Oryctolagus cuniculus: one gene and its partner. The protein of the gene in region 2 interacts with the protein of the main gene of each other region in a pairwise test. Links are inferred from orthologs where the notes say so. Each region holds a gene or a part of one and is shown on either strand. Other genes may lie near its edges. The genes, in order: NELFA and PRR22.

What was found.
Region 1: the proteins of PRR22 (region 2) and NELFA interact in a two-hybrid assay, tested with the Homo sapiens proteins (2 studies listed by BioGRID). The two-hybrid records come from large-scale screens. The link is inferred for Oryctolagus cuniculus from reciprocal best matches to the Homo sapiens genes PRR22 and NELFA.

What each region holds. Positions count from the first base shown.
Region 1 is NC_091433.1:823,984-827,776, reverse strand, and holds part of NELFA (negative elongation factor A), read left to right. Parts: intron 1-2,142; coding exon 2,143-2,314; intron 2,315-2,534; coding exon 2,535-2,696; intron 2,697-3,502; coding exon 3,503-3,592; intron 3,593-3,777; coding exon 3,778-3,793. UniProt on the Homo sapiens protein: Essential component of the NELF complex, a complex that negatively regulates the elongation of transcription by RNA polymerase II.
Region 2 is NC_091447.1:60,353,552-60,357,304, forward strand, and holds PRR22 (proline-rich protein 22), read right to left. Parts: upstream 2,406-3,753; 5' UTR 2,262-2,405; coding exon 2,126-2,261; intron 2,042-2,125; coding exon 1,979-2,041; intron 1,789-1,978; coding exon 836-1,788; 3' UTR 586-835; downstream 1-585. Other genes in the region: DUS3L (tRNA-dihydrouridine(47) synthase [NAD(P)(+)]-like), read right to left, coding at 2,559-2,631, 2,708-2,836, 3,038-3,226, 3,305-3,380, 3,635-3,731.

The DNA of each region.
Region 1 (3,793 bases), on a different chromosome or scaffold from region 2:
GGGGCAGCAGCCTCGGTCCCGCGTCCTCGTCCCGGAGCTGCGCCTCGGCGTCTCCTCCGCCTCCCTCCTGCGCGGCCTCGGCCCTGTGCCTGCCGCTGTCTCCTGCGCGGGCGTGGAGTTTCTTCCGGTTGCACCCGCGCTGCGCCCTCAGGTTTCCACGCGCGCTGTTTCTTTACTGAGGCCCAGTGTTGTCCGTGGTAATTTCCTCACTGGTCCCTGTGTGCTTTACAATGCTTCTCGGGCCGGCGCTGTGCCTGGTGGGTTACGTCACTGCCTGCGACCCCCGCGGCCCTGGGTGACAGCAGCCAGACAGCACGCCACCAGCTCCACTGTCAACTCTTCTGTCTCGAGACGCACACTGGGCTGGCGGCCTGGCGCAGCCCCGGCATTGAGGCCATCTGGGGAGCCAACCGGCGGGTGGGGAGCTTTCTCTGTTTTCCCTCTCCGTCTCTGTCATTCTGCCTTTCGAGTAAATAAAGTACATTTTGCTAAAGAAGGTGTTTCTCGATTCGCACCATGGAAGGGGAGGGTTAGGGTACGTTTCTATCAGTGACGTGCAGCGTGTGACGCTCTCGGAGAATGCGGCCCGCGGAGGCTGGAGCTGGCAGGCACTGCACCCCGGCGCGCTGGCCTACACCCACCCCCTCAAGGGGAGAGCGAGCGAGCGAGCGAGCTTCCATCCACGGCGTCACTCCTCAGATGGCCAGTGAGGAGCCAGGCGCTTCCGGGTCTCCGCGCCGGGTGCAGGCCCCCAGGGCCTCCGCGTCCTCTGCTGCCTTCCCAGGTGCGGTAGCAGGGAGCTGGCGCGGGCGAGGACGCGGGCTGCTTTCCTTTGTCCGTGTGTGTGGAAGGCCCTGGGCCCCGTGGGAGTCGCTGCGTGGGGCGGGGCCGAGGGGGAGCCTGCCACTCAGCGGCTCTCCGCCGGGCCGTCGGCAGTGCCGCGGCTCCGGTCGCGCCGGCCTCGTCGCCTTGTCAGCCTTGCTCACTTGGCACATCCTTTGCGTGTGTGTGATTTGCTGTCATAAATTTTTTTTGGTAATTTTTTTTTTTTTAAGATTTATTTATTTCTTGGAAAGGCAGAGCTATAAGGAGAGACACGAAGGTCTTCCATCCGCTGGTTCCCTCCCCAAATGGCCGCAACGGCCAGAGCTGGGCCGATCCGGAGCCAGGAGCCGGGGGCCGCCCGGGTCTCCCAGGCGCTCGGGTGGCGAGCAGTGCCCCTCTGCCTTAGCGCTGGGCTGCTGTCCCTGGTCGCTCTGTTGGGGGTGTCAGACGCTCGCTGGTTTTGGACGTGACGCACGTCTCCCACTGTCACCTGCTCCTGCGCCTCGGGAACTGCTGGCCTCTGGCCTGCGCCTGTGAGGTTCTAGATCGGCTGGATCAGGGTGTGCCAGGCGCCCTCCGGGCGAGAACTGGAGACCCTTCCCCTGCGGGCTCCTGGGGAGGGGAGGCGAGGGGAGGGGAGGGGAGGCGAGGGGAGGCGAGGGGAGGGGAGGGGAGGCAGGGTGTGGAGGCTTCGCTTCCCAGGCGCTCTCCTGGCTTGCATGGGGAGTTGGCACAGCAGGGCTCCGCCCTCAGGCCCCCAGCAGGGGAGGAGGGCGTGCTGCCACCCCTGCCCCTGGGCTGGGCCCGCACCCCTGAGACCAGGGAGCCCCTGCCCGGGGTTTGCCTCCTCTCACCCCCGGCGTCCTCTTCCTCTCGCCAGCTGTCCTCGTGGTAGTGGTGGGGACCGAGGGTCCTCCGGGTTCAGGGACTTGGCGTGGGGCGGTGCCTGGGCGGAGTTCACACCCATTTGCTGGCCTTTTTGGGCAGTCTGGGCCTGATGGGAGGGGGAGTGTCAGGCACTGGGTCACCCCTGGACACCTGTTCGCGGTCTCAGCAGGGGAAGGGGCTCCTCTGGCGGGGGCAGCTCTCTCCTGGTGACGGGGGTGCCTGCGGCGTGGTTGGGGCGGCACGTGCAAGCTGACTGGCCCCAGCCAGGCCCTCGCCCGCGCCTGAAGAGCAGAAGGGGCTGTCGGGAGGTGGGGGCAGCCCCGGGGTGGCCCCCCAGGGGTGCCGTCAGGGTCTGCAGTGTGGGGAGGCGGCGGCAGGGCAGGGCGCGGTTGCTGCCCGGGCCCGGCGGCAGCGTCTCCTGTCCCGCAGATGAAGGGCGTGCTGATGGAGATCGTCCAGCTGGCCGCGCTGGACTCGGACCCCTGGGTGCTCATGGTCGCCGACATCCTCAAGTCCTTCCCGGACACCGGCGCGCTCAACCTGGACCTGGAGGAGCAGAACTCCAACGTGCAGGACATTCTGGGGGAGCTCAGGGAGAAAGGTGCGCGGGGGGGGGGGGGGGGGGCACCTGCTAGAACCCGCGAGCCTCCACGAGGGGCCGAGGGGGCTCCCAGGCGACCTGCTGGGCTCTGACCTGAGGCCAGGGGGGCTGGGGGCCGGCGCTTGGCAGGTCCGGGGAGGCCACCAGCGGGGGCGGGCGCAGCTCGCCGTCCTCCCTTCCCGCGTGGGGCCGCCCGGGCCTGACGCCTGCTTCCGGGCAGTGGGCGAGTGCGAGGCGTCGGCCATGCTGCCGCTGGAGTGCCAGTACCTGAACAAAAACGCGCTGACCACGCTCGCCGGGCCCCTCACGCCGCCCGTGAAGCACTTCCAGCTGAAGCGCAAGCCCAAGAGCGCCACGCTGCGGGCCGAGCTGCTGCAGAAGTGTGAGTGGGCGCGCGGGGGCGCGCGGGGCGCGCGGGGGCGCGCGGGGGCACCCGCCGGCACTCCCCTGCACCGCGACGCGGGCCGTTTTGGTTTTGATTTTTATCCGTTTGAAAGGCAGAGAGACAGACAGCCGCCGGGAACTCGGATCAGTCTCCCAGGGGCGGGGTGGGCGGAGTGCCGTGCCCGCCCTGGGGTCCCCACACTGCTTTGGGGTGCCCTGGCCACCCTGGGGTGCCCGTGCCTGCCCTGGGGTCCCCACACTGCCCTGGGGTGCCCGTGCCCGCCCTGGGGTGCCCGCGCCTGTCCTGGGGTCCTCGTGCCCGCCCTGGGGTCCCCCGCACTGCTCTGGGGGTGCCCCGCGCCTGCCCCGGGGTGCCCACGCCCGCCCTGGGGTCCCCACACTGCTTTGGGGTGCCCTGCCCACCCTGGGGTGCCCGTGCCTGCCCTGGGGTCCCCACACTGCCCTGGGGTGCCCGTGCCCGCCCTGGGGTGCCCGTGCCCGCCCTGGGGTCCCCACGCTGCTTTGGGGCACCCACGCCCGCCCTGGGGTGCCAGCGCCTGCACTGCTCTCGGGTGCCCGCGCCTGTCCTGGGGTCCTCGTGCCTGCCCTGGGGTCCCCCGCACTGCTCTGGGGGTGCCCCGCGCCTGCCCCGGAGTGCCCACGCCCGCCCTGGGGTGCCCACGCCCGCCCTGGGGTCCCCACACTGCTCTCGGGTGCCCGTGCCTGCCCTGGGGTGCCCGCGCCCACCCTGGGGCCCCCGCGCCTGCGTCCAGGCGGAGCGCTGAAGCGGACGCCTTCCCACAGCCACGGAGACGGCGCAGCAGCTGAAGCGCAGCGCGGGGGTGCCGTTCCACACCAAGGGCCGCGGGCTGCTGCGCAAGATGGACACCACAAGTAAGACCCCACGCGTGGGCGCTCGGCGGGGGCCGCGGCGCTGGGCGCGCCCACCTCAGCCAAGGCTCCGCCCGACCCCTCTGCTGAGCTGTCGGGGTGGGCGCCGCGTGCTGCTGTGGGCGGGGCCGCAGGGTCAGGAGCCCCGAAGGGAGGACGCGGCTGATGGGCTGATGGCGCCCCCCCAGCCCCCCTCAAAGGCAT
Region 2 (3,753 bases):
CCGACGGGCTCTGCCCGTCCTCTCTCCTTCCCAGTGCCTGCCCAAGGCAGAAGTGGGGCCCCGAGCCCCCTCCCGCCTGCCAACGGGCGGCCTCCAGCCCTTGCTGTGGTTTTTGTCCACTTAATCTCCCCCCAGCGAGCTGCTTCTCCTCACGCCCGCGAGGGCTCTGCACCTCCCACCCCTGCCTGCACTGGTCTCGGGGCCAGCCCACCCCCTGGCATTCATGTGAGGCCCAGAGGGGAGCTGGGTACAGTGGCCACGGAACCAGTGCACGTGGAGGGGTCAGCTCGTCCCTGGGGGCGGCCGGTGGCCTGGAGACCCTGGCTCCTCATCCCTGAGCTCCGGAATGAGGACTCCGGGGAGGGGAGCACAAAGCACGGTGGCCTGCCTGGAAGAGGCATCCCGGCCTCAGCTGCCAACCTCATTGTCCTGCAAACCGGCTGGGGACTTCCAGGGCACAACTCTCCTTTGGTTCCCAAAGTGAAGGCTGAGCAGAGCTGGCCCCTGTAGGGGAGGGAGCCCACCGGGACCCCACCCCCACCCCCACCTCGGAGAGTGTCCGCAGAAGCACCTGTCGCTCAGGGCGTCTGTGTCCCCCGCCCCTCACCTGGGCTGGGCATCTCCGCGCCCCGCCACAGCCGCGGCCCCCAGACCCCTGAAGTGGCTCCACCTGCGCACAGCACCGCCCCCTCCCCCCACAGCCCACGAGGCGGGAATGGCCGGCCGCACCTGCGGGTCCAGCCCGGCGGCCCCAGAGCGCCCCCTGCCGGCCGCCGCCGCCGCCGGTGCAGCGCCCACCGCGGAGCCGACACGGAGCTGAGCGCGCAAACTCGCTTTAATGGGGGGCGGCCCCCAGGTCCGCTCGGGGCCCCGCCGCCGCCGCCGCCGCCTGCTTGCCCCTGCCTCCCGGCTTGGCCTTCTTGGCGGCCGAGGCGCCCCCCGCCTTCTTCCTGCCCGCGGGCTCGGGGCGCGGGCCGGGGGCGGCGGGCGCGCGCGGCGGCGGCGGCTCCTCGTCCAGCGCCTTGAAGTTGAACAGGCAGTCCACGTTGGCCACGGCGTCCAGCAGCTCGGGCACGCTGTAGTCGAAGGACAGCAGGTCGGCGGGCAGGTGCAGCGAGCGGATGCCGGCGCCCGAGTCGCTGCTGCCGCCGCCGCCGTCCCGCGGGGGCGCGGGGCTCGCGGCCGCCTCGGGCGCGGCGCCGCCGGGCAGGCAGTCGAAGAGCCGCATGGCGTCCTCCAGCAGCACCTTGTCCGGCAGCGCCGCGCCCGCGCCCGGTGCGGCGGCGGCGGCGGCGGCCTCGGCGGGCGCGGGCGCGCGGAGCTGGCTGAGGCGGCCCTGCAGGTGGCCGAAGGCGCCGGGCGGCAGCGCGGGCTCGGCGGGCAGCGTGATGACCAGCGGGGGCAGCTTGGCCTCCGGCGGGGCCGGGGGCAGCTCCGCGAGGCCGGGGGCCCCCGCGTCCCCCACGAAGCCCAGGGAGTCCGGGTCGGGCCCTTCGGGCGCGTAGTAGGGCATGAGGTATGGGGGGCCCGCGGGCGCCGGCGGGAAGTGGGGGTACGGCGGCGGCGGCGGCGGCGGCGGCGGCGGCGGGCCGGGGGCCCTCAGGTAGGGCCGGGGCTCCAGGAGGAAGCCGCCCGAGGCCGCGGGACTCCCGGCCGGCGCGCCTGCCGGGGCCACGCCGCCCGCCGCCACCAGCTTGTACAGGGCCGTCTGGCCGAAGTCGGTGGCGGCCCACTCGATGCGGTAGATGCGGGGGTCAAAGAAGCAGCCGCACGGCGCCATCTGGAAGCCTGCAGGGCGGGGAGGGGCCCGGGGGCTCATGTGGGGCGGGGGGCACAGGCGCTGTCTCCCGGGCTCCCTTGGAAGCAGGGGCTGGGGCTGGGCGCGGGGAGCCCGGAGCGCGCGTGGGGCGGCCGAGGGTGGCGCTGGGGGAGAGGGCCCGCCCGCTGGGCCCCGGGCGGGGGCTGGGGGCGGCAGTACCTGCGGGCGGGGCGGGGCACGCCTCGTTCTCCGGGTTCGGGGCGTGGTACAGGCCCGAGGAACCTGCGGACGAGGCGCCCGGGTTGGCGGGGCCCTGGGCGGGTGGGCGGGTGGGCAGGGGCCCCGGCCCGAGCCCACCCTGCGTACCCACGGCCGGAGGCGGCTCCGGGGCGGAGGCAGCGGGCTGGCCGCCGGGCCCCTCGCTGGGCTCCAGGCCGCGGGGCCCGAAGCTGTCCGGGGGCGCGGCGGCGGCGGCGTCGTAGAAGGGCTGGGGGTGCTGCATGGGGAGCAGGGCGGCCCAGCCGGGGGCTCCGCGCCAGCTTCTGTTGCCCGGTTGCCGGGCAGCGGGTTCCACCCTCAGGGTTCTGGGCCCGGGGCCGGGGGACCCCGGCGGGCGGAGGGAGGGGGGACGCGGGGGCTGGCTGGGCTGCGGCCGGCGACACCCCCCGCCCCAGACCAGGCCGCTGGTCCACGGCGGCCCCGCGCCTGCTGCCCTCCCGGGGGCGCTGGTGGGTGCGCGCGCAGATCACAGGAAGGCCGAGCCCGGCTCTGGAAGAATAAACTTTATTGTTCCTGGCGGCTACTTGTAGGCGTTGGCCTTGTGCTTCGGGAGGAAGACGAAGTTGGGCGGCACCGGCCCCAGGAGCATTTCGCTGTGGGGGCGGGCGGCAGGGTCAGCCTGGGCCCTCCGCGCCCCCCCACCCCACCCCCACCCCGGCCCCGCAGCACCTGATGCGGATCCAGTCGGCCGCCCGCTGGCTGGCCATGAGCGTCTCCAGGTGGTCCCGGCCCAGGTAGTAGGGCGGCCACTCGTTGATCCTCTGCGGGAGTCGCTCCAGCAGCCCCACGGGCACGTACCTGCGGGGCGGGACCACTCAGGCCCCGCCCCGCCCCCGCACAGGGAGGAGCCCCGGCCCGCCCCGCCCCGCCTGCACAGGGAGGAGCCCCGCCCCCGCCCCCCACACACAGGGAGGAGCCCCGGCCCGCCCACACAGGGAGGAGCCCCGGCCCGCCCCACCCACACAGGGAGGAGCCCCGGCCAGGCCCGCCCCGCCCCACCTGCACAGGAAGGACAGCCACTCGAGCAGGAAGCGGCGCGTCTTCTCCACGCCCTGCGTGTCCGAGCCCCAGTGCTCCAGGCCGTAGCGCGTGAAGTCGCGCAGGATGTCCAGGCGCTCGGAGGCCGAGATGTCCCAGTGCCGCTGCTCCTTGATCTCCGTGAACAGCCAGGGCTTCAGCAGGGCGCCGCTGCGGGCGGGGGGGGGCGTGGTCAGCGGGCCAGGCCGCCCCCCAACCCAGCCCGCGGACCCGCCCCCGCCCGCTCACCGGGCCACCATGACGCCGGCCACCCCGGTCTGCATGGCGCGGTTGGCGTCCTCGTACGACAGGATGTCGCCGTTGCCTGGGGGAGGGACGGGTGTCGGTGCGGGGGTGCCCACAGAGCAGCGGCACCGGGCGGACCCCACACACCCACAGAACACCAGCACGGGGCTGGCGCATCCTCCCCCACCGCACCCACCGCACAGCGGCACGGGGCTGGCGGCCCCTCCTCCCGGGGTGGACCCCCCCCTCCCGGCTCCCCCCACCCACGGAGCAGCGGCACAGGGCGGCGGGCCCTCCTCCCGTCCCCCTCCCGTCCCCCCGCCCCGCACCCACCGAACAGCGGCATGGGGCTGGCGGCCCTGGCGCACTGCGCGATGTAGTCCCAGTCGGCCCGCCGGGTGTAGCGCTGCTCCCGCGAGCGCCCGTGGAGCTGGGGGGAGGGGGCGGAGTCA